Linked DNA regions of Xenopus tropicalis. The protein of the gene in region 1 interacts with the protein of each later gene in a biochemical or structural test. Links are inferred from orthologs where the notes say so. Each region holds a gene or a part of one and is shown in the gene's direction. Other genes may lie near its edges. The genes, in order: creb1, cdk1 and rps6ka5.

Region 1 (10,846 bases):
AAGCTTTATCAGAAAGGTCTATGTAAATACAGCCATAAGAACTCACAAAAACGCTGTACTGAGTCCTCTACCAGAAGAAACGCAGGATTTCTTGTCTCCATTTTTGTAAACATTTTCTTGGGTATCTGACTTCCTCTCTTAGAAAAATCCTTCATTCCAGGGGCCAGAGTCTGCTCAACTCTCTCCCCTCTCCTGTTGCCCCTTCCCACAAGAATGCTAAGAACTCCCTCCCCGCTTCCTTAGGAATGTGTGATCTGAGCTACCACGGCTAGAGCTGTAGCAGAAAGCTACTTAAAGGAACAGTAACACCAGAATATGAAAGTGTTTTAAAGTAATTAAAATTTAATTTACTGTTGCCCTGCACTGGTAAAACTGGTGTGTTTGCTACAGAACACTCCTATAGTTTATATAAATAAGCTGCTGTGTAGCCATGGGGGCAGCCATTCAAGCTGGAAAAAAGGAGAAAAGGCACAGGCTACATAGCAGATAACAAATAAACTCTAGAATACAATGGCATTTTATCTGTTATCTGCTAAGTAACCTGTGCCTTTTCTCATTCGAATGGCTGCCCCTATGGCTACACAGCAGCTTTGCTTATATAAACTATAATAGTCTTTCTGAGGCAAACACACCAGTTATACCAGTGCAGGGTAACAGTGCATTATATTGTAATTACTTTAATATGCTTTCATATTTTGATGTTACTGTTCCTTTAAAATGGCAGCTGCTGTCTTAAACAAATGGAGAAAGCTTCTAGGGCTCTTTGCTCAGGTATGGTAATGCTTTCTGCAGAATAAATATAGTGTTCTAGGTGGCACTAATGTGGTAGTAAAATGCAAAAAATGACTTTCTTTCTTCTGAAAGCTGAAATCTTTTCCATGCAAACCCATTTAGGTGATCTAAATATTAAACTCTGGTTGAATCATCTACGCACCAGATTACATTAACATTTATTTATAAAGCGCCAACATATTCCGCAGCGCTGTACAATAAGTGGGTTACATACATTGGACATACAGAGTAACATATAAAGCAATCAATAACCGATACAAGAGGTGAAGAGGGCCCTGCCCAAAAGAGCTTACAATCTACAGATGCATATATAGCCAAGTCAAACATCAATCTTTCTTTCAGGGACCTTCTCTGTGGATACCCACTAAAAACAAAGTGTGCCAAAATAGTGTATTAAAGTTTTAATAAGAGACCAATAGAAACCCAAATGGCATGCTCACAAACAGAGATTCATATAAGCATTGAATGAAAAGTCTCTAAAATCCTGGAAACTTCTGAGATCCTCTACACATTTCACATGGTTCACCACACTTCCTCAGGAGATACTGGTACCTTTGCACTTTAATCTACTTTATTGAAGGTACTGCACAAGCCAACTGTTGTCATGTCACAAGAGGTAATTAATGTTACTATTTTTGGTTTTATGGGTAAATAAAAATCTCAAAAATTGAGAGCAGCAATGTCAAAAGTGATTGTTTGGCTCTATTTTCCATAGTGCAGCATGGCACTTCTCTATGGCTTGCAGCCTTTTAATATTTTCTCTCCTATTTTAGGGAGCTTGTTCGTTAGTATTTTTAGCTGAGATTAAAATTGGAATTTATACAGTAAATTAAAGGACCTTTAAGATAAATTTAATTCATTACATTTTTTTTTTTTAGTCCTGCCCGTTAAATGTTTCAAGTAAAGTAAAAATCAGTGTTAATGGTAGTATGCATGCCATGCGCTCTTCTTTATGATTTTTTAATAAAAGCCTCTACCTGATCCATTTTGCAGTAGAGCTTTAGATAATACGAGGTCATTCCATACTACCAAAACACTACAGAAAACGGTTTTTGTTCATTTTTTTAAACTTAAATATACTTTCTGGAAGCGATTTATTATTTTCAAAATGCTGAGCGTCTGTGAATGCTTTTGGGCTTAATATAACTAGTGTTTTTGATGCTGTTATAAGCTAAGTTAAGCGTAATTGTCTTTCTTAATAAATGTGGTATTCCTGTAGCTGAGTGGATCAGGTTTTGGAGAAAATCAGCGGCATAAACACTGGTATGTTTAAGAAAAAAACTCTGGCAAAATAGTGACAGTATTGTTTTGTCACAGAAAAATAATTTGCAGGCAAACAAAAAACACAGTTTCATTCATTTTCAATAATTTTAATGAATTGGAGAAAAAATTGGTTTCTTGAAATCTTTAATAATAGGAATTCAAGACAATTGGAATTCATTCACATTGCAGTTCCCATTAAGTTTTTCCATGCAAACTTTTTTTTTTTTAAACAAATCTTAACTATTTGAGTTTTCAAAAAGTATTCTTGCATATATTCAGGTTTTTTAAATACATTTATTGTTGCGTTTTTTTGTTTGTTTGTTTTTTCTCAGATCATGGAATATTGCAGTCTTGTTTGAATCCTGTTAAATCCTGCATTAATCATTTTGCGCCTCCATGACTACATACTCTGTGACAGTTTAATTTTATATATTACTGAGCTTTTGTATTGAGCTGGGCCAGGAAAAAAGCTGTGCACTGCAGGTTTCCATGGAATAAGCTTATAAATGCATGGGCTAGGGATGGTTGTAAATGTTCTGTCATTCTTTAATTATCTTTAGAAACCTTTTCATAGATCGGAGAAATTAAAGAGCACTTATCAAAGGAAAATTGTTGAAAAAAATGCTGATAGTGAGTTCTGTGCCCCAACTGGGGGGGAGATCAGCCACTAAAAGCATGTAAATGTGGTTGTGTCCAAACTTGTTTTCTATGCGCATGTGCGTGACATCACAAGCATGCGCATAATGAGAAATCCAAGTAGCCCTTTCATTAAGCACTTCCTTGTGGCGAAACATGTCCAGCATCCCAGCATAACTTTTTGACAATTATGTTCTCTACTAGCCCTCCCCCCAATACAGTGGATATAAAAACTTAACACACCCCTGCAAAATGGCAGGTTTTTGTTTAATAAAAAAAGTAACTAAGATAAATCTTGCCGGAACTTATTCCACATTTATTGCAATTTATACAAAGAAGTTGCAAGCTAATCAGAAACAGTTTAGTGAAAAGAGAAAAGAAATAATCCATACAAAAACCTGGTTGCACACCCTCCAAACTAATACGTGGTTGAAGAACCTTTTGATATTATTACAGAGCTCAGACTTGAGTCTGTTAGTTTGGCAATTTTTGGCCAAAATTTTTCTAAATTTGTCAAACTGACTTGATTATTAAATAGTGTGCATTGTAATGCAACTAGTTTTTTTGTATACATTTTTGCTACTTGTATAGATGGCAATTTTTGCAATACAGGTGAAATACTTTGACAGGATTGATTTATCTTGTTTTTTTTTTTTTTTTTTTTTTTTTTTTATAGGGGTTTGAAAACTTTTTATATACCCTGTAGGTGCTCTTTAAAGGCTGATTTAATAACAGGTGTTTAATAATAGGTGTTAAATAACACCAGTCTAGTTGCCAATCAGAGTAATTATAATCAGTTTACAAGTTTGACAACTGCACTACTAGTACACTTTAGTACTTCTGTATATTAGTAAATGTGTCTTCTAATATCTAAATTTAGGGGAAAATGACATGGCTGGGTATGTGTGGTCCATGTTTAGTTCTGTGGTAATTCCAGGTAAGGGTAAAAGACTTTATTCACTACAATTTCCAGGTAACTAAATGACCATGGAATCTGGTGCAGAGACACAGCAGAGTGGAGATGCCGCTGTCACAGAGGCAGAAGCCCAACAGATGACAATACAGACCCAACCACAGATTGCAACATTAGCACAGGTATAGAGTGGTTAATTGCTTTCTTATTGACGCCATGCAACTAATTAAGGCTCAAACATTCAAATTCATCATAAAATGCAGCTTTTTTTTGTTTGCCATGCATTACTGGTACCACTATCTGCTTAATTCTCCTGCCATTATGGCTTTTTTCCCTTAAACACCGCTTTGTGGAAGCTGACAATGTTCCTTTATTAAAATATTTAGAACACTAATTCTGTTTTGCTTTTTCTCTATAAAATAGGTATCCATGGCGGCTGCACATGCAACCTCATCTGCTCCTACAGTAACATTAGTTCAGTTACCCAATGGACAGACAGTTCAAGTTCATGGAGTTATCCAAGCTGCACAGCCTTCTGTCATACAGTCCCCACAAGTACAAACAGTGCAAGTAAGTAGTTTTTGTGAGTTTAAATTCTATAAAGAACATTGTCTTTGCACTAAATAAACATCACTTATTATGTGTTGCCTATTAACTTTAATTGCTCATTTAAAATAGTTGCAGCTTAGATCTTATAGATTATAGGTTCCAAAACCGAGATTCTTGAAGCCAAAGATATAAGGGGGACACCCTTGGTGAGCAACTTCTTATATGTACAGGTTCTGGATTGCTTTTTACACTTTGTACCATGCACAAATATCATAACCTTAGCTGAGCTCTGATTTAATAATGTTATTCAAACTAAAAGCCATACAGATTGTTTTGAGTGAATTTGAAGTGAAGGTCCAGACTAATTGTTGATTTTGTGAATCTGTCGGGATCATATAAAAATGCAATAATGTTGGTTTGGTTAAAATTATTCACTCAACTTAAGTAGGTTAGTGACACACGGGGAGATTAGTCACCCCTACTAATCTCCCTTCAATGCCGTCCCACCTGCAAGAATGTAAATTGCTGGTGGAATGGCATACACGTTGCTTCGTTTTCTTGAGATGCGATTTTGGGAAAACAAAGCAATGCGTGTGCCATCCCTCCGGTGATTTACATTTTTGCCGGTGGGATAGCATTGTGGGGAGATTAGTCGCCTGCGGTAATGTAGATTTGTCCCTGTGTGTCACTGCCCTCAGCTAGCAAGATTTAGCCAGTCAGATCAATTATATGAAAATTAAGCCGGAGGGGGAAGAAAAGTGTAGTAGAGCTTCAGTCCTTAACTTCCTTCTTTGGCATTCTGCACATAATACAGGCAGGGGTTTTAGCAATCCCAGGTTAAGTCTGTGATGTGCAACTCGAGTGCACATCACAACTCTTATATTAAAAATAATTTATTTTAAATAATAAAGATGATTTAGTAAAATGTTTTTAATGAGGTTGACTTATTTGGTAGGATGCAGTTTACCCTAGTAACCAGGCATTAGTTTGAATGAGAGACTAGAAAATGAATAGGGCAGGCCTAACTAGAAAGATGCTCAAAGAGTAATGATAAAACTTGATTTCATCAAAGGATATGAAAAGCCTAATTTTAATACATTTCCAACAGGTAGGGCTCTTAAATAGAAATTCATAGGCCCTTACTATTGTGCCCTATAGTACACAGTTTCTAGTGCAGCTCATAATCAGCGCATGGTTTTCAAGTACTTGGGTGACATCACTACTGCCTATTACTTGATCCCTGGGGCTTAGACTAAATGTATGCATAGAAACAATCTGAGAAGTTTGCTTGTGCATTTAAAATTTAAAGCTTTCTGATGTAGAGGAGTTAGAAGCATGCATTTACAGATGTTCAGTCATGTGTATGACATCAACAGATAAGATAGTGACCACAAAGCAGTCAGTACTTTGCAGAAACTGATTACTGGCAAAGTAAGGCATTGAATCAGTTGTTGTTTTATAGCCCCACCTCATCATGGTAGTTCTGGACAAAACTATATAAAAGCAGTACAATACATTACAGTAGTGCAAAATGGGAAACTTTAGCTCTTCAAGTTTTCAACTATGAATCTAGTCTCACTTGAAAGGTGTGCTTTAGTGAAGTTTGTCAAAATGTTGCACCCACTTCAGCTTCTTTTTAGGGCTCTGGCACACGGGGAGATTAGTCGCACGTGACAAATCTCCCTGTTCGCGGGCGACTTACATTTTCGGCGCTGGGATGGCAGTTTGGGGAGATTAGTTGCCTGTGACAAGGGAGATTTGTCGCGGGCGACTAATCTCCCCGTGTGCCAGAGCCCTTATGGGGACAATGCAAATAAAAATACCCATAAACTTGTAACCCTAAATATTAATTTTATCATTTTGTGTGTCTAATGAATGAGTTTCAAGTGTTGCCTTAGAAAAGCAAGGAAAGGCTGTATTAAACTGTAATTCTAAAGAATGTGTTTGATAGCGTATCCAGTTTTGAAATGCACCACCCTAATTTAGTACGAACAATAAAAATTTAGGTACTTTAATGGAGAAGGAAAGGTAAAAACTAAGTAAGCTTTATCAGAAAGTCTATGAAAATACAGCCATAAGCACTTACAGTAATGCTGCACTGAGTCCTCTATCAATAGAAACACATGATGTCTTGTCTGTTTTTTTTGTAAAGATGTTGTTGGGGTATCTGACTTTCCTAAAAAAGATTCCAGGGAAAAGTCACGTGAAACCCTACATTAAAGGAAAACTATACCCCCAAGCAATGTAGGTCTATATAAAAATTATAGTAGTATGTGTTATTAGGTACTCCTAAATAGAAAATTTACATTTTAAGCAGGGCTGTGGAGTCGGTAGATAAATTCTCTGACTCCCGACTCCTCAGTTTCTGATACTTCCGACTCCACGACTCCGACTCCTCTGTTTTTAATATGCTAATGTATTTTATACATTCATACAGTCAATGAAAAGCATGCTTCATGGTCACTCAGCGTGTTCGTTTATGCACTGTGTGCATTGGGCTTTATTCTTATAGCAGAGAAGTAATTAATTTTGACTGTTTGTGAATTGGGACATTTAAACTTGCTTTATTTTTTTTTTTATTCCCGTTTAAATTTAGTAGGAGTCAGAGTCGGTTCCAGATACCCAAAATTGCCTCCGACTCCACAGCCCTGATTTTAAGAATCAAGGGCCGCCTCCTGAGATAATAGAATTTACAGTGCACACATACATGCAAGGCCACATCAGCCAATTAATGGACAGAGTTCTACCTTTTGCTTCCACACTTCTTGTTACAGTTAGAGCTGCATTATTTCTGGTCATGTGATCTCTGAGGGAGCACACAGACCCTCACTAAATGGTGGCTCAAGGGAAAGGATGTAAAAAAGCAATATTTACTGATATATATATTCCAGTTTGGCAAGATTCTTTAATAGGTTATATTATGTTAAGTGACCTATCTGTTTGTTAAGTATTCTTTCTGGCGGTATAGTTTTCCTTTAACCTGCAAATTTAGAATACACACAAAAAATGTATTCAGTATATATTCTAAGGCACAAATCTTTATTAACTATTTAACTGGAGTATTTGTTGCATGAACAGATTTCCACTATTGCTGAAAGCGAAGATTCTCAAGAATCAGTAGACAGTGTTACTGACTCTCAAAAACGCAGAGAAATTTTGTCCAGGAGACCATCATACAGGTAACTTCTAAGTTGATATATAACAAATACTTGGTTATTAATTTAACATTTAGTTGCTTGAGCTGAGGGTTTACATTGTATGTTTTTGTTTCAGGGAATCATTTGCACATCCCTGTCCTGCTTGACCAGCATCTGCCTAATACTTAAAATGCTGGATTGCATTATATAACTAAAGGATGTTTGGCTGATTATTCCATAGTAATTACAAATTGCACATACTTACATTCATGTCAGGCAGGAACATGACTCCAACACTGCGCGTTTAATAATAAATTTGAATGCCAACTATTCTGCACTGACAATGCTATGATCTTTGTACCTGGGTACTTAATATATTTATTATTGCATTTTATTTGGAACAGGGGCCCCAATTTATCTTTGAAGTCTATTCCCTACCCTTTGTGTCTTTTTTAGTAAGTCATGTGCAAGTGTTTTACACTGTAAGGAGTGCATCATTCAGGGGTCAGGTGATTCCTTTTCTTTTTGCTAATATCTATATCCCCTGTCAGACAACACTTTTATCATTGCCTTTCTTTGGAATATTAAGGGCAAGGGCACATGGGGCGATTAGTTGGCGCAAGTTTTAATAATTCTGACGTGGCAACGAATCATAGCGATTTAGCTGCCATAGGTTAATATGAGTTGCTGTGACCAGTCATGCACTATTTGCAGCTTCCCGATTAGTCATTGCAGCGACGAATCACTCCGTGTGTCTTCACCTTTGCAGTGCCAGTATTTTATTGTTCTTAGGCTTCTTTGGTTTTCATTATAGATATATAATCTCTCACTGGCAGCGTCCTTTAAATTCATGTGTTATTCTCTAATTGTTTGCTCTTTTTTCTCTTACTGCACATGTTTATTCATAGTACAACACAAGGGTGACATGTTGGATTTCCAAAATCGTACTGAAAAGTTTAAGAAAAACATACATGTTAAAAAACTGATACTCCATAAGCTTTTATTTCATATTTGTCTTTGACCATTTTGTATTACAAGCAGCTATTTATTTTGTAAAAAACTAGTGAGAGACCATAATTTATTACCCTTTTTTTAGTTGCATTAGTCCTGAGATATTATTTGTTAAATAAAATGTACTTGTACCTTTGTTTCTCCAGAAAAATTTTAAATGACTTGTCTTCAGATGCTCCAGGAGTACCAAGAATTGAGGAGGAAAAATCAGAAGAAGAAACTTCGGCTCCTGCTATCACAACAGTTACTGTTCCAACTCCTATCTATCAAACCAGCAGTGGACAGTATAGTAAGTACTATTTGTGTCATAGGATACAAACCCCCTAATTTACTTTTGTACATTGATTAAATCTGAAGATTTATCAGATGTTAATTACATTAGCTGAATATATTTTGTTTTTTAGGCAGTAAAGAAAGGACACGTAGCCACAAAAGACCCAAATATGGGTTGAAATTGCAATTAAGGCCCTTGTTTTTGGCAAATTAAAGAGTCCAAGCTATTTTTTACTCAAATGGATTCTGTCATGATTTTTATTGTGTACTTTTTATTTCTAAATTACACTGTTTACATAGCAAATAATTCACTCTACTATTTAAAATTTTATTCTTGAACCAAGGAATGGATTCTTTTAGTTGTAATACTGGTGTGTAGGCAGCCATCTTGGTGCATTATGCCCAAGTCTGAGCTTTTGGAATGCTCTTTGTAAAGCCAGTGCTACTCGTTAGAACTGTTTTTAGATAACCTATTGTTTTGCCTACTCCCACGCAACCAGAGGAGTCCCAAGCTGGACTTGAATTTCTTACTGAGTGCTATTCTGATATTTACTGGAAGCTGCTATCCTGCTGGAGAAGTTCTATTAACTGACAGTCCTTTAAATATATAAAATGTACAGTTGAGCATATCTTCTTGAAATTGCGTTGATCTTGATTTTTTTTTTTTATAATTTTAAAGTTGCTATTACCCAAGGAGGAGCAATACAGCTTGCTAACAATGGTACAGATGGAGTGCAAGGACTTCAGACATTAACCATGGCTAATACAACAGCATCCCAACCAGGAACCACCATTTTACAATATGCACAGACCACAGATGGACAGCAGATACTTGTTCCTAGCAATCAAGTTGTTGTCCAAGGTAAGATAAAGATCAAGATACTTTGTTTTTCACAGATTCTGAATATTATATTTTTCTCTCTCATTAAGTATCAATGACATTTTTAGCCCCTAAAACTGGGTTTTTATATTCGTGTATACTGCTACAGTCATCAGTTTGGGCTTTGTTTGAGCTGTGATGCAGCTACCGTTTTAAAAGTAATTAAAGTGATGGCTGCTCATTATTACATTCAATAACTCCCTGTTTGGGTGATCCTCTTATATAGGGGCCATACATTGGCTTGGCCAAAGCACATTTCCACATAATAATTTCAGTTTTGCCATACTTAGGGTGAAACCTAAATTTAGAAGAGTGCAATATCCAGCATTATCAAAACCTTTTATTATTAGCAATGATACTGAACGCAAAACCTATAGAGGGTGGTTGATCTATATGAGGAGATTTACATGATAATGATGGCTAGAATCTGAAATCTGCCAAAAACCCTTTTCCAGTGCACAGTGACTTCTTGTGGATTTTGCTCTACTTTTCTTAAGCTTTAATACTAGCTATATTGTATTTGTCCTCGTATAAATAGGCAGGAATAGATTTCTAGCTGATAGCGTCCTGCCTCCTTGAACAGAGAAGAGTTAGCCACGTAGTGCCATTATCCAACCTATGGAAATCCAGAAACACAATAATCCCCAAAACCTTGTTATCTATAATTGATATTGTAAACTTTGTTTTTGGAGAATTATGTTGTTAATCTCTTCATAAAGATTACATTCCTAACATTATTCTATTTTAGATGCAGTAACTGTTGTATTGGTGCAGGGTTAGTTACTGCATCCTCTTATTTGGCGAGCCGAATCGGGCTTATCCAATCATTGACCCAACTGGGATAACAGTTGGTATGAAAATATGAGCGCTTATAGGCACACAAAGTCACTTCCTTTGTTTTGCAATCAAGATAGATGTGACTTCAGAAAGACTGAATCAAGTTGTTTCCACTTTAACACATGTAAAGTCTAGATTATTTGGCAGATACGGTACCATTCTTGTACAAATTGTACTAAATACATAAATAGATCTATATTAAATACATACAATATATTTTGTAATGCATTGCTTCTCAGCTGCCTCAGGAGATGTACAGACATACCAGATCCGTACAGCACCTACCAGCACTATTGCACCAGGAGTGGTAATGGCTTCTTCTCCTGCACTTCCTGCCCAGCCTGCTGAAGAGGCTGCACGAAAACGAGAAGTGAGGCTTATGAAAAACAGGTGCGTACAATTATTTATATTGGAAACAAAGATTAAAGAGGGATTATCACTAAAAAAAAAAGTATGTATATTTAGTGCTTATGATCCACCCTAATAGATTTTATAGCACATTAAAGGAAAAGTGACGCTTAAAAATTTTAACTAAAAAATCTATTCTACCATCCC
Region 2 (10,494 bases), on another chromosome or scaffold:
ATTGCCTTGTATCTGTACTTGGCTTGAAAGCGTACTGGCACTTCAGGCCCAAAGGAAGGGCGCTGGGCTAGGGGGCTTACACAGCAGGAAGTGTAGGAACAGCAGTTGCCCTTTACTTCCTAATCTCCTGATGCACCATAGCAGCTTGCCCTGTTCCCCCAAATTGAATGCTAACCATAGTTAGGGTATGGGACCTGTTATCCAGAATGCTCGGGACCTGAGGTTTTCCGGATAAGGGCCTATCCATGACTTAAATCTGCTAAAAATCATTTAAATATTAAATAAACCCAATACTAGATACTGTTTTATTATTATTACAGAGAAAAGGGAATCATTTAACCATGAAATAAACCCAATAGGGATGTTCTGCCCCCAATAAGGGGTAATTATATCTTAGTTGGGATCAAGTACAGGTACTGTTTTATTATTACAGAGAAAAGGGAATCATTTAACCATTAAATAAACCCAATAGGGCTGTTCTGCCCCCAATAAGGGGTAATTATATCTTAGTTGGGATCAAGTACAGGTACTGTTTTATTATTACAGAGAAAAAGGAATCATTTAACCATGAAATAAACCCAATAGGGCTGTTCTGCCCCCAATAAGGGGTAATTATATCTTAGTTGGGATCAAGTACAGGTACTGTTTTCTTATTACAGAGAAAAGGGAATCATTTAACCATGAAATAAACCCAATAGGGCTGTTCTGCCCCCAATAAGGGGTAATTATATCTTAGTTGGGATCAAGTACAGGTACTGTTTTATTATTACAGAGAAAAGGGAATCATTTAACCATGAAATAAACCCAATAGGGCTGTTCTGCCCCCAATAAGGGGTAATTATATCTTAGTTGGGATCAAGTACAGGTACTGTTTTATTATTACAGAGAAAAGGGAATCATTTAACCATTAAATAAACCCAATAGGGTTGTTCTGCCCCAATAAGGGGTAATTATATCTTAGTTGGGATCAAGTACAGGTACTGTTTTATTATTATTACAGAGAACAGGGAATCCTTTTTAAAAATTAGAATTATTTGCTTATAATGGAGTTTATAGGAGATAGCCTTCCCGTAATTCAGACCTTTCTGGATAACTGGTTTCCAGATAAGGGATCCCATACCTGCACATGCATATTGGCTGGGATCAGTTTTCCACTGAAAATGGTACAAAGGTTCATACGATGTTATCTATACAAGTACGGAGAGGCAACTTATACAGACTGTCAGATATTCTGAGCAATGGGGGTGTATAAGGGCCTGTGTATAGTAACCAAGCACATCTCATGACCTCAAGGGATGGATAGGGGCTTTATTTCTGCACCCTACAGACAAGGCCTATTGGAATCTGGGGGGCCTCATCCTATCTTTCTGTTCCTCCCAGGCACATACGGGGTTGTGTACAAGGGTCGCCATAAAGCAACAGGCCAGGTGGTTGCAATGAAGAAAATTCGGTTGGAAAACGAAGAGGAGGGCGTCCCAAGCACAGCGATTAGAGAAATATCACTACTGAAAGAACTTCAGCACCCCAACATAGTTTGGTAAGTGATACCCTGCTTCCCCCTACAGAGTTTAAGCATTGGTTATTTATAAAGCTGCTGATTGGCTATAGGTTGAAGGGGGAAATAATTCCAGGAAACAGCCGTGGCGCTGACGCGTTTCTTTTTTCTTTCCAGCCTTCTAGATGTCCTGATGCAAGACTCAAGGTTGTACCTCATCTTTGAGTTTCTCTCCATGGATCTGAAGAAGTATTTAGACTCAATACCCAGCGGCCAGTATATAGATACAATGCTTGTTAAGGTAATCAGCAGTTTCTTTCTTAGGAATATTGCCTAATGGTGCAGCCATGCATGTTACGCAATGGGGCTGTGTATCTCCAGAAAATGCCCGCCTCCCATTTAGGGAAATGGTGCCATGATGGGGGCCAGTGGCATCCAGTCAGAACAGCACTTGCTGTATATCTCCTTGTTGTAGCCTGGGGAAGTGTGGAGGGGGGTGAACTGTTATGGATTTAGCAAACAATTACTAGCAGCAAGCAGGTACCTGGTTACTCTGTAGTCAACTAGTTCTGTAATTCCGGGCCACTGTAGCTCCAAAAATAAATAATTCTGGACAGCTGCCATCATCAGGATCTCTCGTCAAGGGCATGGCGCTGCTGCATAATCCAAAGTTTTGGTTTTGGTATTTTTTAAAGGGGCAGTATCCTCCCTTGTTTAAAGGGGAACTCCGGCTTCTGAACCAAAATAGGTTAAAGAGCCCCACACAATACAAGCCCCTAATATACCTACTGTTATGTTCCTTCAAACAGTCTGAATAAATCCCATATTTATATGCTGAAATCCAGCTGCAAAACAGTTCTTCCCTGTTTGCATCACTGGAAATCCTGGCAGGGGAGGAGGGACTAAAACATTACAAATTGTAACAACTTCTCCACAGCTTACAGATGACATGCAGGGACTACATAACCCACAATGCATTGCACTGGGATGTTCCCCTCCTTATTGACATCACGTGTGCAGGGAATTGTGGGATTGGGAGGATGCAGGCTGAGGACAGGCAACTACTGTTACATTTTATTTGAGTCACAAAGTAGCCAGCCAGATCAGCAGGGGAACAGGGGGCGGGGCTCAGGGAACTGTTCCAAACCATATTACATTAAAAAGCAACCAGGCAGTGGAGTGAATGAAAAGATGAACAGGAGAGGGGCTGAACAGAAAGATACGTCATTAAAAGTAACAAAATTGTAGCAGCTTGAAAGCCAATTGGAATGAAACATTCCACTGTACCATACTGTTAGTATACCCATGGATGACAATGGGGCCCCTACAAACCAAATGCACTGCCCATATTTGTCATGAAAGCCCCACAGACATTATGTTTAATCATCTTATTCTGAAGTAAATGTACCTTAAACATTAAACTGCAAGTCTTTAACTTTTTTTTAATATCCTAGAACTACAGAATAGCAATTTGCAACCAGGCTTTCATATATTTGAACTGAAAAATGTTGACTGCAGAGTCGGGGCCTAAACTATTAGTTGCCCGATTAGTCGCTTGCGGTTGCAAAGAGATAACCGCGGGCAACTAATCTCCCCATGGGCCATTGCCCTTGGACTACAAAGGGAAGTCTCTTCTCTAAAGATCTATGAATTCACAGCCACAGTTTTGTCAGGCATTCAGCCATATATTATCCTAAAATATACATATACAATATATATATATATATATATATATATATATATATATATATATATATATATATATATATATATATATATATATAATATATATATGCTTTTTAACGGTTCTGGTTTGTTTCCCTTCCCCCAGAGTTACCTCTACCAGATCCTACAAGGGATTGTATTTTGCCACTCCAGAAGAGTGTTACACAGGGATCTGAAGCCTCAAAACCTGCTGATCGACAGCAAAGGAGTGATAAAGTTGGCAGATTTTGGCCTTGCCAGAGCTTTTGGCATTCCGGTTCGGGTTTACACACATGAGGTGAGTTATCGGTATTATTCCTCCATCTGAAACCCCCCCCCCCCCCCCCCCCCCATCCTTCACACTGCTTTTCTCTGCAACCAGTTGAGGTCCAACAAACTGGCTGTAGGGGAGAGCCTTTCCTCAGGGTCAATTACTGGGTCTCTTTGTGCAGGTTTTACATCCCCCCCCCCCCATTGCACCCAGTTATCCTGTAATTCAGGGATCCCCAACCTTATACCTGTGAGCCACATTCAAATGGGAAAAGTTTTGGGGAGCAAAACAAGCATGGAAAAAAGTTCCTGAAGGTGCCACTGAGAACTATAATTGGCTATTTGGTAGCCCCTATGTTGACTGGAAGCCTACAAAAGGCTGTCTGGCGATTACACTGGGGTTTTATTCAATCAAAACTTGCCTGCTTACCAGAAATTCAAAATAAGCACTGGCTTTGGGGACACTGGGAGCAACATCCAAGGGGTTGAGGAGCAACAAGTTCCTCACAAGCCACTGGTTGGGGATCATTGCTGTAATTTATAGCTGTAAAAACTGCCTTAAAGAGAAGGAAAGACTTCATCATGGGGGAGTGGGGGGCAACTTGCTAGGCAGCCTCCAGTGCTTATAATTGCTGGGGCTCCTCTCCAATGAAAACTGCACACACAGTGCCACGCCGCCATCTTGCTTTCTGTACAATTGAGCAGAAGTTTGGATTTTGTCTATTACACTTGCATGCCACCCAGCGGAGTAGCTAGGATTATTGGGACTTTTATGCAATATTACCCTAGGCTGGTGCAGTTTTCACCACTTCCTACCCCTGGTGATAAAGCCTTTATTATACTGTTGCTATAAAGCAATAGTTGATGAGAATGGGTTTATATGGGGGGGGGGGCTGCTGACTGTGACGGGAATATCAGAATAACCCAGTGTCTGGTTACAGGTAGTGACGTTATGGTACAGAGCCCCAGAAGTGCTGTTGGGGTCAGTCCGATATTCCACACCGGTCGACGTATGGAGCATAGGAACCATTTTCGCTGAGATTGCCACAAAGAAACCCCTCTTCCATGGCGACTCTGAAATTGACCAGCTCTTCAGGATATTCAGGTACCTTTCTATCTTTAAATAAGACGTATTGGATAAATAGAAAAAACCCCTATAATTTTGTAGGCAATTATGAATAATATACGGTGCTGGTTTCACTTTGGGCTAAACATTAATCCTATCTGTAACAATGGCCCCTTTATTGGAGCTCCCTATAGATCCTATAGGTTCTCTGTCCATGTTTCAAATGTAAGGTGGGCGTGTCCTAACGGTCTCCGTCTGAAGCACAGTAGGACGGGGAGAGCCAATCACAGCCCAGGCTTCAATTCCCTATCGGGTCAGTCTAGCTGCTGATTGGTTCCTATCCTACAGTGCGGTGAAATGAGAGCTGTTGGCTCTCCTCCCCAGCAGGAAGTGGAACAGATGGGCGGGACTAGTGGGGTTTATGTGGAATTTCTCAATAAATTAGTCCGAAACACACTTTTTTTTTTTTTTTTTTTTTTTTTTAAAGCACAATTCTTCTATATCTAGAGGAGTATAATTCACTGATACAGGACTTTGAACGCTCAGTTTTAATTGGTGGGCAGCATTTCACTGAAACCCTTATATGAAGAACATTTTTTTTTTTTTTTTTTTTAAAGTAAAACTTGTTTATACACTGCAGTCCGAGAATTTACAGCTGGAAAATGGCCTTTACGCTTGTGTGGCTGAAGCCGTTAATGGATCGTGATGTAGAGTGATGTTGAGTAATTGGTCTTTGCTGAATTTCAAACTAGAGAGTTCTAAATGATAAAGTTAAATAATCCAAAAGCCGCAAATTAAACAAAGACCAATTAGTCTTATAACATCACTCTACGTCATGATCGGTTATTTTTAAGGTTAACTACCTTAAATGTACTTGTAGCGCTATCTGGTCAGTTACCCTAGCAACCATGCACTGAATACTTTCGCCCTTGTTCGGGCAGGTTTGATTTACCGTTGGATCAGGAGCCACATTGGCTTGTTGATGTGGTCTGACGGTGCTAATGCCTTCTGGGTGGGCATCACAGTAGCTTTAGAGCAGGGGTGGCCAAAAAGTTGATCGCGGTCCACCAGTCGATCCCCCACGAACTTCTGGTGGACCGCACCCCTGCTTTAGAGCAATATGTTGGGGCCACTGACCAAATCAGCTAAAAACCTAAAGGCTTGAGAGAGTCCAAAAGTTGCTAATTGGCCATTCGCTAGCATTCTGAAACGTGAACACCTTTCCACAGGCAGAGGATATGCTTGTGCACTTTAGCCCTATATATTTCTGATGCATCTGCTGTCCTGAACCATTAGGAGCCCAATATGAGATTTATAATCTTCTGAAACCCCAAAAACAAATATGCAACTAAAATATTAGCTTTATTTTAAGTGCGGGGATGTGGTCAGTGGGAGTCTCTACCTAGTCTGGGCCAGGACCCATCTAAATGCAATAAAAACCCCTTCAGAATCACAGAAACCCCTAATTGCTGCAATTAAAGCAACTGATTGGCATTTTGCAGAGCTCTGGGAACGCCCAACAATGAAGTGTGGCCTGAAGTGGAGTCTTTACAAGATTACAAGAACACATTCCCCAAATGGAAAGGCGGAAATCTGTCGGCGAATGTGAAAAATATCGATAAGGATGGGCTGGACCTGCTGTCTGTGAGTATGGGGGGATATCTAATGGCGATTGGGTTATAGGCGACTGTGGGGCTGTATTCAGGGGACGGAGAGCAGCGCTTTATAAAGGGGTGTGTTGGGGGGGGCTTACCTTGTATAAGATGGGGATAAAAGTGGGTTTGCTCTGAGACTGACTCCTTTTTTCTTGCTACTTTTACAGAAAATGCTAATCTACGATCCCGCCAAGAGAATTTCTGCGCGTAAAGCGTTGCTGCACCCCTACTTTGATGACTTGGATAAGTCCAGCCTTCCTGCCAATCAGATTAGAAATTAACACACTGAGCGTCTCTTCTCTTGGGTTTCTGGGTGGGAATCTGATGTAAATCACTTTCGTTTTTTTTACTGTCTGTACGTTGATGTATATGTGTGTATGTGTCTCGGCGCCCGAAGTACTTACCTTAAAGCACCACACTCTAAATGTAAATATGGACTGACCAAACCTGTGTATAAATGCATTTCCCACACAGACATTTCATTTCCAATAAAGCTTTATTATATATTCCTGATACGGTCAGCTTGCTTTATTATTTTTTTATTGGGGTGGGGGTTATTGTCTGTCCTATGCCACATTAAGTGGGTAGTTCACCATTAAATAAACATTTAGTATTGTGTATACCGGTATTCTAAGACAGTTTGCAATTGGTCTTCATATTTTATTTTTGGTGGTTTTTCATTTAGCTTTGTTTAGCAGTTTTGGTTTTAAACAGCTATCTGGTTGCTTTAGTGTCTTTACCATAGCAACCAGGCAGCAGTTTGAATGAGAGACTGGAATATAAATAGGCGAGTAATAAATGAATAGAAAGTTAGGTAATGAAAATTAAGAATAACCGTAAAATTGTAGCCTCACAGAGCAATAGTTTTTTGGATGCCGGGGTCAGTGATCTTCATTTGAAAGCTGAAAAGAGTCAAAAGAGGACTATTTGCAATTAGTCTTAAAAATGAAGGTTTTTCTGTTTAGCTTTTGTTTGCAGCTTTCTATTTTGGTATTTTAGCAGCTATATGGTTGCTAGGGTCTTAACCTAGCAACCAGGCAGTGGTTTAAATATGGGCATATGAATTGTAGAAGGCCTGCATAGAAAGATATTTACTAAAAAGTAATAAAATTGTAGCCTCAGAGCAATAGTTTTTTTTTTTTTTTTTATATTGCGACTGCCTGGTTATGATTCTTTTTCGTCTGTGTATAGATAAATAGTATTGAGGTGATGCCAACGTAAGATATATTAAGGTGGCTTCTATATTTGGGGGGCTTAGAAGTATCTAAATTGGGTTTTATATTGAATTGGTTAAATGATTCCGAAGGCTTCTTTGGTATGTCTGTGGTGGTAGATATTGAATTGGTGATTGGGTTGCCTTTGTTTGTGGGGGAGGTGGGTAGACGTGGTTGTAGTGAGATGTGTAGGAATGTGATGTGTGGTGATGTGGGCTGAGTTGGTGCTGCCAACTAAGATTAATAAGTTTGGACTTTCTGTATTGTTGGAGGTATTCAGGGGGGACAGGTGAGAGGGCTATAGTGGGGGTGGTAGGGTATTAGGAGTTGGGTATGTTAGGGGTAGGAGGTGGATTCCTAGTTATATGTCTTAGTGGAGGAGGGCGAGTGTGTGCGTGTACTGTTGATCCAAGGTGAGTGGAGGTATGAGGTAGAGCGGAGGGGTGTGGGGTAGGGCTTTCGTGGGGGGGGTTGAGGGGCCTTATTTGGGGAGGTAAGGGTGTATGTGGGGTGAGAATGTGGTTAAGGTAGTGAGATGAGGGTTGGAAGGTGGGTGCGGGGCGCGTATTTGTGGTGGGTGGGGTGAGTGGAAGAGGTGAGAGGAGATGTACTGTGAGTTGATGTTCTGAGGATGGGTTTATTTGGTATAAGATAATGGATGAGTGTAGTGGCGGTGTGCGGCTTATCTGTGGGAGAGAAACAGTTCTATTGGTTTAGGTTTAGAGTTGGTGTAAGGGGAGAGGGTGAGTTCGGCCTGTTCTGTGTATGGGTAAGAACTGGGATAATTTATTTATAAGTAGGGGATGACAGATTTTACGGTTATAAGTGAGGGGTTGGGTGCTGTTTATGATCAGCTCTTGCGATTACTGAGTGATAGTTATCGGATGTAGGAACTTTGGTGTGTGGTGTGAGGAGAGTGGGGAGATGGGGTCTTGGATTGTGGTGGGTTTTAGTGTGGCAGTGAGAAGTGGGTGCTGATTGTTGTTGTTTGTTTTGATCTGTGTGCCGGGTGTGTGTGGTGGGAAGTGTGTTTGTATATATTAGCGTAGGAAGATTAATGTAAAAATGTCATCTTATAAACAAAAGTGAGTGGAGATACTATGGTGATATAATATTCCTTTTCTTGTGATATTAGAATCAGGGTCAGTTCGGGTATTTGATAGCTACTTAAGAGGTATGGGGAGCGGAACTTCAAGTGCATGAGTAGTTAATTAAGTCTCGGGTCTTAGTTTATAAAGTGAAGGTTGGGACATCGCAGTTGTATAGTGGTTGTCCTTTATATGGTAGTCGTTGATTAATATATATTTAGTACCGTTAGGTGGGTGGGGGGAGATATATGAGGTCGTGTAAGAGTTGGGGGTTTAATTTTGAGCGATGGAGTTGATTTAAGATGATTTCCAGTTTTATTTCTTCTGTAGGGATTATTGTGTTTAAATGAGACGGGATTGTGACATGTTGATAATTTTTGTAGAGGGGGTACTTTATAATTAAGTGTTGAGTTTCCCGTAGCGAACTTGCGTTGGTGTTAAATTTGATGAGTTAATGAATTTACAATACATGTGAATCCTTTATTTAATAGGGTTACTGCTCATATAATATGGTGGTGGAGCATGAACGCGCTTTATTTCGAGGTGATGCTGGGTTGTTCTATGTATAAAGTATTTTGGTTTAAATGTAATGCTCTTGCTATTTTTTTCTTCTGTTTATTTAATTGAGGATTACTCATTTTTGAGAGAGTCTGGCGTACTATGTATCTTCCAACTTAGAATGATAGTGAGTGTATGATCTGGAGCATAAACTAAGTGATTGTGTTTGGATTTAATTATCTGTTGTTGTATTAGCTTTAAATTATAATATTCTAGGTTAGCAGAGACTATAGAGGGTTTGCGTAGAAGGTGTTAAGCAGCCCATATTTCGTTCATGCTTAGGAAATACTAGAGTGAGGACATGTGGGATTCAAAGACATGTTATCCGCGGAATATATCTCTCTTTGGTGCCGAATTGTGGGGATAGGGGGGGGTGCCAGCTTGTGTTGTTGTGGGAGTTCGATCGAGGGTTTTGCTGTATGTGTACTAGGGATGTTGTTCTTAATTTATTGTATGTGGCCATTGTTGGCTTCTGGCGTTAGTGGAAATGGATTTATGTGTTATTCGTGTTGTGATTCATGCGATTTCTTAAGATTTCTGCTTTTTTTTGAATGGTGTAATTTCTGTAACTAAAACACAATACTATTTATAGAGGGGTGAGTATAGATTACTGGGATCGATACTAATATATGTGGCTTTGCGATTGATGTGAGGGAAAATTATTCCTGAATTGTTGTGACCTTATTGTTGTTTTCATCTATGGTTCGTCTGCCGTTTTTATCGTAGTCCTGTCTTCTTGGTTATTTAGTGAATTGTACTACTTTTTGTGGGTGTGGTTGTTTATTTAGTACTGGTTAAAGAGAGGATTTTCCAGGTTGCTAGGACAGAGTGGAACGGCAAGACGGGATTGGGGCAGATCAAAAGAGTAAGCAAATTAGAAACATATTAATTATTAGTTGTAAGTGATGGGGCATTCTTAAGAATATTGTTTTCACTGTTGTGAAGACTTGTATGTGTTTCACTTGTATTTTGGTGAGTGTTGTGTTTAGTGCAGTTGTGATTAGTGTGTTATTAAGAATTGTGCCAACTTATGATATCAATGTGACCACTGATACTGCGTTTATGTTGCATTGGTCGTTGTCGGCCCTTTGTTGGGTGTGGGACGTTCAATGAAACATTTTGCATAGGAATTCGTATTGAATTGTCAGCCTTGGTGCGTGTCAGTCATAAGTTATTTTCATCTTGCACACGTTTTTAATATTGGGCTGTTGGCGTGTATCTTTGAGTCTGTTTTAGTTGTAAAGGGATTCACGGGCCTTGTGAATAGAGTTCGGCTGGGGAGTGAGCTGGCTGATTCTACATTGTATCATGTATGTGCAGGACGGCAGGTGAATGCGAGAAGAAGTAGTTACAGGTCAACCAACGGTGGGGTCAATAGAGCTGTAGTTTATCTGTAACTTAACTTACGTTAAATGATGAAGGGTAGGTTCATGGTAGAGAGTTA
Region 3 (11,375 bases), on another chromosome or scaffold:
AGTAGACCCCTGGCGTTCATAGTTAGAATGTTTTATGTTGATACGTTACTAAATGTGGGGGTACATAATGGGGTAAAATGCAAGCTTTGTGACAATTTTCAGAAATGTCATAAAAACCGTTCTGTTTAGCATAGCTTTGTAGTTTGGTAGTTTGCAGTAGAAAGATGTATTTACCCATTTGTGTTTTGTCAGAATGTGTACTTTCGGAAAATATATGGTTTTCTAGGGTCTCTGTACTGTTAGGGGATCTTATGCCGCATAATACACATACCGGGTGCAAAAACTGCATGAGCCGGAGCGTCTTATGTGAAAATTCATATGCACTATTTTTACTTGGGTGCCCCTGTACCCCACATAGTTTGGTAAATCTATGCATATAGGGCATCAAACTGTTCAGTAGGCCCCTGGCGTTCATATTTAGAATGTTTTATGTTGATACGGTACAAAATGTGGGGGTACATAATGGGGTAAAATGCAAGCTTTGTGACAATTTTCAGAAATGTCATAAAAACCGTTCTGTTTAGCATAGCTTTGTAGTTTGGTAGTTTGCAGTAGAAAGATGTATTTACCCATTTTTGTTTTGTCAGAATGTGTACTTTCGGAAAATATATGGTTTTCTAGGGTCTCTGTACTGTTAGGGGATCTTATGCCGCATAATACACATACCTGGTGCAAAAACTGCATGAGCCGGAGCGTCTTATGTGAAAATTCATATGCACTATTTTTACTTGGGTGCCCCTGTACCCCACATAGTTTGGTAAATCTATGCATATAGGGCATCAAACTGTTCAGTAGGCCCCTGGCGTTCATATTTAGAATGTTTTATGTTGATACGGTACAAAATGTGGGGGTACATAATGGGGTAAAATGCAAGCTTTGTGACAATTTTCAGAAATGTCATAAAAACCGTTCTGTTTAGCATAGCTTTGAAGTTTGGTAGTTTGCAGTAGAAAGATGTATTTACTCATTTTTGTTTTGTCAGAATGTGTACTTTCGGAAAATATATGGTTTTCTAGGGTCTCTGTACTGTTAGGGGATCTTATGCCGCATAATACACATACCTGGTGCAAAAACTGCATGAGCCGGAGCGTCTTATGTGAAAATTCATATGCACTATTTTTACTTGGGTGCCCCTGTACCCCACATAGTTTGGTAAATCTATGCATATAGGGCATCAAACTGTTCAGTAGACCCATGGCGTTCATATTTAGAATGTTTTATGTTGATACGGTACAAAATGTGGGGATACATAATGGGGTAAAATGCAAGCTTTGTGACAATTTTCAGAAATGTCATAAAAACCGTTCTGTTTAGCATAGCTTTGTAGTTTGGTAGTTTGCAGTAGAAAGATGTATTTACCCATTTTTGTTTTGTCAGAATGTGTACTTTCGGAAAATATATGGTTTTCTAGGGTCTCTGTACTGTTAGGGGATCTTATGCCGCATAATACACATACCGGGTGCAAAAACTGCATGAGCCAGAGCGTCTTATGTGAAAATTCATATGCACTATTTTTGCTTGGGTGCCCCTGTACCCCACATAGTTTGGTAAATCTATGCATATAGGGCATCAAACTGTTCAGTAGACCCATGGCGTTCATATTTAGAATGTTTTATGTTGATACGGTACAAAATGTGGGGATACATAATGGGGTAAAATGCAAGCTTTGTGACAATTTTCAGAAATGTCATAAAAACCGTTCTGTTTAGCATAGCTTTGTAGTGTGGTAGTTTGCAGTAGAAAGATGTATTTACCCATTTTTGTTTTGTCAGAATGTGTACTTTCGGAAAATATATGGTTTTCTAGAGTCTCCTAACTGTTAGGGGGTCTTATGCCGCATAATGCACATGCCGGTAGCTTATATTGCAGTATATACACTTTGTATGCACTAACTTCCTTTTGGGGTCTCTAAATGCCAGATACATCAGTGATCCTATGCACAATGGGCATCAAACTGTTCAGTGGACCCTTGGCTTTCATATTTAGGGTGTGTTTTCTTGGTACCTAATGTTATGTGGGAGATAAGGTGCTTGAAAGTGGAAGATTTGATGTGATTTTCAGGTATTTCACCAAAACTAGCAATTTTGGGAAAGCACTGCGACTCTGTAGTTTGGAGTAGAAAGACATGGGTACCAATTTTGAATTCGCCCGAATGTGTACTTTCCAAAAATATATGGTTTTGGGGGGTCAATGTATTTTTTTGTGTTTTTACCCCACAGAAAATGCAGTAAATGTGTTGAATTTTCAGTAGCTAAAGAGACCTCTGGGGCAATCTCTATGCACTAACTTCCTTATGGGGTCTCTAAATGCCAGATACAGTGGTGATCCTATGCACAATGGGCATCAAACTGTTCAGCGGACCCTTGGCTTTCATATTTAGGGTGTGTTTTCTTGGTACCTAATGTTATGTGGGAGATAAGGTGCTTGAAAGTGGAAGATTTGATGTGATTTTCAGGTATTTCACCAAAACTAGCAATTTTGGGAAAGCACTGCGACTCTGTAGTTTGGAGTAGAAAGACATGGGTACCAATTTTGAATTCGCCCGAATGTGTACTTTCCAAAAATATATGGTTTTGGGGGGTCAATGTATTTTTTTGTGTTTTTACCCCACAGAAAATGCAGTAAACGTGTTGAATTTTCAGTAGCTAAAGAGACCTCTGGGGCAATCTCTATGCACTAACTTCCTTATGGGGTCTCTAAATGCCAGATACAGTGGTGATCCTATGCACAATGGGCATCAAACTGTTCAGCGGACCCTTGGCTTTCATATTTAGGGTGTGTTTTCTTGGTACCTAATGTTATGTGGGAGATAAGGTGCTTGAAAGTGGAAGATTTGATGTGATTTTCAGGTATTTCACCAAAACTAGCAATTTTGGGAAAGCACTGCGACTCTGTAGTTTGGAGTAGAAAGACATGGGTACCAATTTTGAATTCGCCCGAATGTGTACTTTCCAAAAATATATGGTTTTGGGGGGTCAATGTATTTTTTTGTGTTTTTACCCCACAGAAAATGCAGTAAATGTGTTGAATTTTCAGTAGCTAAAGAGACCTCTGGGGCAATCTCTATGCACTAACTTCCTTTTGGGGTCTCTAAATGCCAGATACATCAGTGATCCTATGCACAATGGGCATCAAACTGTTCAGTGGACCCTTAGCTTTCATATTTAGGGTGTGTTTTCTTGGTACCTAATGTTATGTGGGAGATAAGGTGCTTGAAAGTGGAAGATTTGATGTGATTTTCAGGTATTTCACCAAAACTAGCAATTTTGGGAAAGCACTGCGACTCTGTAGTTTGGAGTAGAAAGACATGGGTACCAATTTTGAATTCGCCCGAATGTGTACTTTCCAAAAATATATGGTTTTGGGGGGTCAATGTATTTTTTTGTGTTTTTACCCCACAGAAAATGCAGTAAATGTGTTGAATTTTCAGTAGCTAAAGAGACCTCTGGGGCAATCTCTATGCACTAACTTCCTTTTGGGGTCTCTAAATGCCAGATACATCAGTGATCCTATGCACAATGGGCATCAAACTGTTCAGTGGACCCTTGGCTTTCATATTTAGGGTGTGTTTTCTTGGTACCTAATGTTATGTGGGAGATAAGGTGCTTGAAAGTGGAAGATTTGATGTGATTTTCAGGTATTTCACCAAAACTAGCAATTTTGGGAAAGCACTGCGACTCTGTAGTTTGGAGTAGAAAGACATGGGTACCAATTTTGAATTCGCCCGAATGTGTACTTTCCAAAAATATATGGTTTTGGGGGGTCAATGTATTTTTTTGTGTTTTTACCCCACAGAAAATGCAGTAAATGTGTTGAATTTTCAGTAGCTAAAGAGACCTCTGGGGCAATCTCTATGCACTAACTTACTTTTGGGGTCTCTAAATGCCAGATACATCAGTGATCCTATGCACAATGGGCATCAAACTGTTCAGTGGACCCTTAGCTTTCATATTTAGGGTGTGTTTTCTTGGTACCTAATGTTATGTGGGAGATAAGGTGCTTGAAAGTGGAAGATTTGATGTGATTTTCAGGTATTTCACCAAAACTAGCAATTTTGGGAAAGCACTGCGACTCTGTAGTTTGGAGTAGAAAGACATGGGTACCAATTTTGAATTCGCCCGAATGTGTACTTTCCAAAAATATATGGTTTTGGGGGGTCAATGTATTTTTTTGTGTTTTTACCCCACAGAAAATGCAGTAAACGTGTTGAATTTTCAGTAGCTAAAGAGACCTCTGGGGCAATCTCTATGCACTGACGTCCTTATGGGGTCTCTAAATGCCAGATACAGTGCTGATCCTATGCACAATGGGCATCAAACTGTTCAGCGGACCCTTGGCTTTCATATTTAGGGTGTGTTTTCTTGGTACCTAATGTTATGTGGGAGATAAGGTGCTTGAAAGTGGAAGATTTGATGTGATTTTCAGGTATTTCACCAAAACTAGCAATTTTGGGAAAGCACTGCGACTCTGTAGTTTGGAGTAGAAAGACATGGGTACCAATTTTGAATTCGCCTGAATGTGTACTTTCCAAAAATATATGGTTTTGGGGGGTCAATGTATTTTTTTGTGTTTTTACCCCACAGAAAATGCAGTACGTGTGTTGAATTTTCAGTAGCTAAAGAGATCTCCTGGGCAATTTGTATGCACTAACTTCCTTATGGGGTCTCTAAATGCCAGATACATTGGTGATCCTATGCACAATGGGCATCAAACTGTTCAGCGGACCCTTGGCTTTCATATTTAGCGTTTGTTCTTTTGGTACCTAATGTTATCTGGGAGATAAGGTGCTTGAAAGTGGAAGATTTGATGTGATTTTTAGGTATTTCATCAAAACTGGCAATTTTGGGAAAGCATTGCGACTCTGTAGTTTGGAGTAGAAAGACATGGGTACCAATTTTGAATTCGTCCGAATGTGTACTTTCCAAAAATATATGGTTTTGGGGGGTCAATGTATTTTTTGTGTTTTTACCCCACAGAAAATGCAGTAAATGTATTGAATTTTCAGTAGCAAAAGAGATCTCCTGGGCAATTTGTATGTACTAACTTCCTTTTGGGGTTTCTAAATGCCAGATACATCGGTGATCCTATGCACAATGGGCATCAAACCGTTCAGTGGACCCCTGGCTTTCATATTTAGGGTGTGTTTTCTTGGTACCTAATGTTATGTGGGAGATAAGGTGCTTGAAAGTGGAAGATTTGAGGTGATTTTTTAGAATTTTCATAATTTTTTATAGAAAATGCTAAATTCAGTAAAGCATTGCTGTTTGGTACTTAGGAGTTGGAAGACATAGTTACCCATTACGGATTCGTCAGAATGTGTAGTTTTCAAAAATGTATGGTTTCCTTGGGTAAACCTAATGTTCCAGGATTTTTGGCTTTGGAATGTAAAGTATGCCGTATTCTGCTGTAATGCTTTGAAAATTTAGTAATTTACTGCTGGGAGTTTTTGATCTATAGAAGTCAGAAATCTCAATAAAACTATACATATCAGGTATTGGCACGTTCGGGAGACATGAGGCTTTCCAAATCAGTTGAATTTTTGTCCATAAAATAAAATATGTTTCTGGTAGAAATCCTTATATCATGAAAAATAGCATTTTTCTTTTTTTTTTTTGTATTTCAAGCTCTAAATCTTGTTCCAGAAGTGGAAATACACAAAAACTCAGGTAGATTTGGAAAGCTCAGGTTCTCCTGAAAAAAACAATATATAGTTTGCCTACCTAAACTTAACCCTGCCCCCAGTAAAAGCCCCTACATTGAGAGAGCACAGAATGTTTACAAAATGTCTGGCACTGGGGGGAACTGAAATGACGAATTCGGCTGGCACTTAAAGGGTTAAACACTACAGTTACAGAAAACACTTACAACGCATACAGAATCCTCACCAACACCTTGGGTTAAAAGAAAAGGCGGGAACTCTTGTATACATAGACTATATGGGAAATCCAATCAGAATAGAGTGAATAGGCGGTGCTTCTACATAGCTCCAGTCAGTGAAGCTCTGGCTTGGAAGTGTTGTTAGGCCGGGGATCCGCCCCTACTCTGTTACAACCTTGGAGTTTGCTGGGAAGGGAATCTCCGGGGTACGGGTGCGCCTAGCTCCACCTTCTGTCTTCGCATTAACCAATAAGGTCGTTGATGCCAGGGCAAGTTAGGTAGAGCCCCCTGGAAGGGCGCTGGGTTGCTCCGTGCCGTAGTGGAACGGAGTGGAGGGCTGTATCGGGTTGGCTCAGGGTTTGGAAGGGCAGGGGAGTGCAAGGTGATGAGCGGCACACTGTAGGAAGTGTATAAGCAGGCAAGCGTCAACCATAGCAATAGATAAACTGTACATACGCAAGGTGCTTATCTTGGGGTTCACGCCTTGACAGGACATGGAAGGGCCCTCACAGGAAGGTGACCTGCTCACTGTGAAGCACGAACTGCGGACAGGTAAGCGTCCAAAGGGGACCTGGGAAGTTATATATTAGTCATCTAAATTATGTTTTGTGACTTCCTGAGGCAGTCGTCAGTCGTAGAATGTTACTGACAACCTCTGTTTAGAAGAGATGTGTTATGTAAGAGTGTTGTATCCGTCCCTTGACCTCTTATAGAAAGTTCGAGTGTGTTATATGCAGTACTGCATCTGTGAATGTCTTATTAGCATCCTTCCCCTGCCTGTATGTGTGTTTGGCATTCCGCCTTCTGTGTGTGTGTGTTGGTAACACCGCAGCACCGTGTGTATTATTGCTGTCCCTCCCCTGTATGTGAATATTGCTGCCGTTCCCTCACCCCTCTGTGTTATGGCTGTAACCTCACAGCTCTGTGTGTTGTCTGGGTGTAGTGCTGCCTCTCATTCAGGCTGGATTTGTGTTATTTTTGTGTCTACCTGGGCCTGTCAAATGGCTCTTTTTCTTTTTAGTTTTATGTTTGTGTTTTTGTCTGTCCTTCAGTCTTTGTGCATATATTGCTCTGTACTTTAGCCTGTGTGTGTGTTTGTGTGTATTGCTGCCTCTTATCCTGTATGCATGTGTGTTTGTTGCTGTCTTCTTCTCAGCCTGTGTGTATTGCTGCCCCTCCCTTAACCTGCATATAAGTGTGTTGTGTATCTCTCTCACACTGTCTGTATTGCTGTATTTCACACCGCCTGTTTGTGTTTGAATAACTTTTTCTTACGAAGCCTGTGTGTATAGATTGCTTTCTCTTTATCGTGTTTGTGCGTGTGTGTATTGATTCCCATCCCTCAGCCGATGTGCATGAATGTATTGCTTTCTTTCATTTAGCCTATGTGTAAATTTTGGTCTCTCCCTAAGCTCTTATGTGTGTGTATGTATGTCTTTCCTTCAGGCTGTGTGTGTGTTGCTGTTACTTATTCATTCTGTGTGATTGTGTGGTTTTTTGTTTCCCCCTCTGTGGGCACATTGCTATCTCTCCTGACTGTATGTGTTTCTGCCTCTTTCTCAGCCCTTATGTATGTCTGTTGATGTCTCTCCATCAAACTTGTTTATGTTGCTTGCACTCTCTCTCTCTACATGTATGTGTGTGTGTGTATATTGCGGCCTCTTTACGTTTATATTTGTGTCACTCAGCCTGTATATGTGTTGCTGCCTTTCCCCTCAGCCTGTATGTGTGTTCCTGTCTTTCGGTCAGCCTGTATGTGTGTGTTGCTGCCTTTCCCCTTAGCCTGCATGTTTGTGTTGCTGCCTTTCCTTTAGCCTGTAAGTGTGTGTTGCTGCCTATCCCTCAGTCTGTATACATGTGTTGCTGCCTTTCCCTGAGCCTGTATGTGTGTGTTGCTGCCTTTCCCTGAGCCTGTATGTGTGTGTTGCTGCCTTTCCCTGAGCCTGTATGTGTGTGTTGCTGTCTTTCCCTGAGCCTGTATGTGTGTGTTGCTGTCTTTCCCTGAGCCTGTATGTGTGTGTTGCTGTCTTTCCCTGAGCCTGTATGTGTGTGTTGCTGTCTTTCCCTGAGCCTGTATGTGTGTGTTGCTGTCTTTCCCTGAGCCTGTATGTGTGTGTTGCTGTCTTTCCCTGAGCCTGTATGTGTGTGTTGCTGCCTTTCCCCTTAGCCTATAAGTGTGTGTTACTGCCTATCCCTCAGTCTGTATACGTGTGTTGCTGCCTTTCTCTGAGCCTGTATGTGTGTGTTGCTGTCTTTCCCTAAACCTGTATGTGTGTGTTGCTGTCTTTCCCTGAGCCTGTATGTGTGTGTTGCTGTCTTTCCCCTTAGCCTACATGTTTGTGTTGCTGCATTTCCTTTAGCCTATAAGTGTGTGTTGCTGCCTATCCCTCAGTCTGTATACATGTGTTGCTGTCTTTCCCTGAGCCTGTATGTGTGTGTTGCTGTCTTTCCCTGAGCCTGTATGTGTGTGTTGCTGCCTTTCCCCTTAGCCTGTATGTGTGTGTTGCTGCCTTTCCCCTTAGCCTATAAGTGTGTGTTACTGCCTATCCCTCAGTCTGTATACGTGTGTTGCTGCCTTTCTCTGAGCCTGTATGTGTGTGTTGCTGTCTTTCCCTAAACCTGTATGTGTGTGTTGCTGTCTTTCCCTGAGCCTGTATGTGTGTGTTGCTGTCTTTCCCTGAGCCTGTATGTGTGTGTTGCTGTCTTTCCCTGAGCCTGTATGTGTGTGTTGCTGTCTTTCCCTGAGCCTGTATGTGTGTGTTGCTTCCTTTCCTTCAGCCTGTATATGTGTGTTGCTGTCTTTTGGTCAGTCTGTTTCCTCTTAGCCTGTATGTTTGTGTTGCTGCCTTTCTTTTAGCCTGTATATGTGTTGCTGCCTCTTGCTCAGCCTGTATACGTGTATTGCTACCTTTCCCTCAGCCTGTATACATGTGTTGCTGCCTCTTGCTCAGCCCATATGCGTGTTTTGCTATTTCTTCCTCAGCCTGCAAGTGTTTTATTTTTATATTGATATCTTTTTTTTCATCATGTGTGTCTTATAGCCAGTCTTACTTATTCTGTTTGTATATAATACTGGCTTTCCTTCCTTAGCCAGTGCATATATGCTATTGTCATCTCAATTTAAGCTAGTGCATATATGTCATGGGCATCCCCCCTCTGTGTGTTATTGTCATCTTTCCCTTGTGTTTTAGTGGCATACATATCTCACACTGTGTATACTGGCACCTCCCCTTAGCCTGTTTGTGTGTTATTGGAATACTTCCTTATCCTGTGTCTGATTCATTGGCATCCTTCCCCTAACCTATATTTGTGTGTAGTCTTCTTCTGTACTTCAACAAGTGCATATGCTGTTAGACATAGAGATATTATTAATTTGCTTCCTGCAAACCAATTCTCAATCTATAATTGTTGGAATTTCAATCACAAGTCACTGCCCTCAGATGCAGATAATCATGGACAGTTGATCAAGGTCAACAAATCCTTTTTATGTGTGGCTCCTTAAATTCTTGGCCTGTTGGCAGATTTTCATGCCAACATACGGGTTAGGACCTATGTTACCATCACAGTGTAGTTGTGAACTAGGGAAGTTGTGAAAGTGTGTATGCTGCATTTTACATTCCTCATAATCTGAGCCTTAATCTTTGCCATCATAATAGTGATGGAACTTTTCTTATAATTAGAGGATGCAAAGTTGTAAATTTGATGTATAGTAGTACAGAGAGAAACAACCACACATTGTGCTCAACTGGAAGAACACAGAAGGAGACCTATGTAGATATTTTGTTTCTCTTTTGGCATTTTTTTAAAGAAATAGAATAGGCTATTTACAAGGTATCAGAAAATATTATGTTGCAATTATTGGGAACTGAAATAGCTTTCAGTAATAGAGTGGATATGTTATTGAAATCATTTTATTTTTATACTAATTTAAAGATTTTGGTAGATTTTCGGCAAAATAAACTTTTTGGGGTTTTCCCCAAAACGTATATTTATATTAGGATGAAATGGTCCAAACAGAAACGTTTTGCAAATTGAAGCTAAATGACCATATTGACCAAATTATATTGAATTTCACACTAAAGGCTGAAAAAATGCGTTAAAAATATTACGTTACTTTCTGAAAACTGCCATTCTGAAAATGACAGGTTCCCTGAAAACTTGAGGATGCATCACTCTAAGACATTTACATACTTCATTCTCTTCTTCACAATCCAACAAAAATCGGACTGCAAACTTCATGATGTCTTCACAAACGCTCCCAAACCGCAAGGTTTTTTGAGTAACGCCCACACCTAGGAGGTGTTAATATTAGCACTGATTATCGCGATTTTCCATTCTTTTAACGCTTAAAATTTGTCTGTGAATTATGCATTAGTATTATTTCTATTAGATAATTATCACAATGTGATGGACATAATGCTTTGCGATAATTGAGATTTTGCTCATGCGATATGAGTAGTAACGCATGCAAAATTACTTTGATGAATCGTTACTTAATTAACAAACACTTTTTAACGCATAAAACTATGTGTTAAGTGTTAACAACCTTTGGTGAATCAGCCCCTGTATATTAAAGGTATATTAAAAGGTTCCAGAGCGTTAATTTCTGTCACTTTCTGCATTACCCAACTTTTGTACATTTGGATACAGAAATTTCAGAGTACATTGTGCCCATGTGACCTTATATCTCCAGATACAGAATTTGTTTTTGTGGCAGAGTAGCAGTGTTCTGACTTTTTTTTTAAGCAGTGAAAGTGTAACTGCTAGCTGTGTGCCAAGAAGGCAAGTGAGGGATTATGATTGAAGCCAAGAGAGGACTTGGACCACTCTATAAACAGATTAAGAAAATCCTTCCTGCTCAGGAAAGTGGGTGCAGTGGATGAAATGGTTTAAGATGCTCAAATTTTAAAAAAATGGTAATAAAGGTATGGAATCCTTTGATATACCTGATATCCAGAAAGCCCGAATTACGGGAAGCCTGTCTCCCATAGACCCCATTTTAATGAAATAATTCAGATTTTGAAAACTGATTTCCTTTTTTTCTGTAAAAATAAAACAGTGCTTTGTATTTGATCCCAACTAAGATATAATTAATCCCTACCGGATGTAAAATAATCCTATTGGGTTTAATTAATATTTTATTGATTTCTTAGTAGACTTAAGGTATAAAGATCCAAATTATGGAAAGACCCCTTAGGTAAAATCATTTTTAAATTACATTAAGAATCATTTCTTTTAATTTCCAATAAAATCAATTGATCAACGTCTAGGTGCAAATCAATAAGCATCATATTTTGTGAACTGTAACAGCTGAAGCTGAAAATTACTTAAATTTTTATTTAAGTAATAATGAAATGTTTCTGTATTTTATAGTATTTTCAGTAGTGTTTTCAAATCTTGGGCTAGAATATTCTTATTTTTAATATTTTGTTTTGTTTTTAAATGTCTCCCTTTTTTCCAGCCCCTCTGTTAACTGTTGACAGTGCAGTATCCTTAAA

Evidence for each region.
Region 2: of the proteins of creb1 (region 1) and cdk1, one has a biochemical effect on the other in vitro, tested with the Homo sapiens proteins (2 studies listed by BioGRID). The link is inferred for Xenopus tropicalis from reciprocal best matches to the Homo sapiens genes CREB1 and CDK1.
Region 3: of the proteins of creb1 (region 1) and rps6ka5, one has a biochemical effect on the other in vitro, tested with the Homo sapiens proteins (3 studies listed by BioGRID, with this or other methods). The link is inferred for Xenopus tropicalis from reciprocal best matches to the Homo sapiens genes CREB1 and RPS6KA5.

Annotation. Positions count from the first base shown.
Region 1 is NC_030685.2:49,766,207-49,777,052, reverse strand, and holds part of creb1 (cyclic AMP-responsive element-binding protein 1), read left to right. Parts: intron 1-3,664; 5' UTR 3,665-3,672; coding exon 3,673-3,786; intron 3,787-4,027; coding exon 4,028-4,174; intron 4,175-7,231; coding exon 7,232-7,332; intron 7,333-8,447; coding exon 8,448-8,590; intron 8,591-9,253; coding exon 9,254-9,436; intron 9,437-10,530; coding exon 10,531-10,681; intron 10,682-10,846.
Region 2 is NC_030683.2:16,804,695-16,815,188, forward strand, and holds the end of cdk1 (cyclin-dependent kinase 1), read left to right. Parts: intron 1-1,380; coding exon 1,381-1,537; intron 1,538-1,672; coding exon 1,673-1,796; intron 1,797-3,326; coding exon 3,327-3,497; intron 3,498-4,410; coding exon 4,411-4,574; intron 4,575-6,037; coding exon 6,038-6,179; intron 6,180-6,357; coding exon 6,358-6,471; 3' UTR 6,472-6,697; downstream 6,698-10,494. UniProt on the Homo sapiens protein: Plays a key role in the control of the eukaryotic cell cycle by modulating the centrosome cycle as well as mitotic onset; promotes G2-M transition via association with multiple interphase cyclins.
Region 3 is NC_030684.2:86,957,792-86,969,166, reverse strand, and holds the start of rps6ka5 (ribosomal protein S6 kinase alpha-5), read left to right. Parts: upstream 1-6,016; 5' UTR 6,017-6,371; coding exon 6,372-6,429; intron 6,430-11,375. UniProt on the Homo sapiens protein: Serine/threonine-protein kinase that is required for the mitogen or stress-induced phosphorylation of the transcription factors CREB1 and ATF1 and for the regulation of the transcription factors RELA, STAT3 and ETV1/ER81, and that contributes to gene activation by histone phosphorylation and functions in the regulation of inflammatory genes.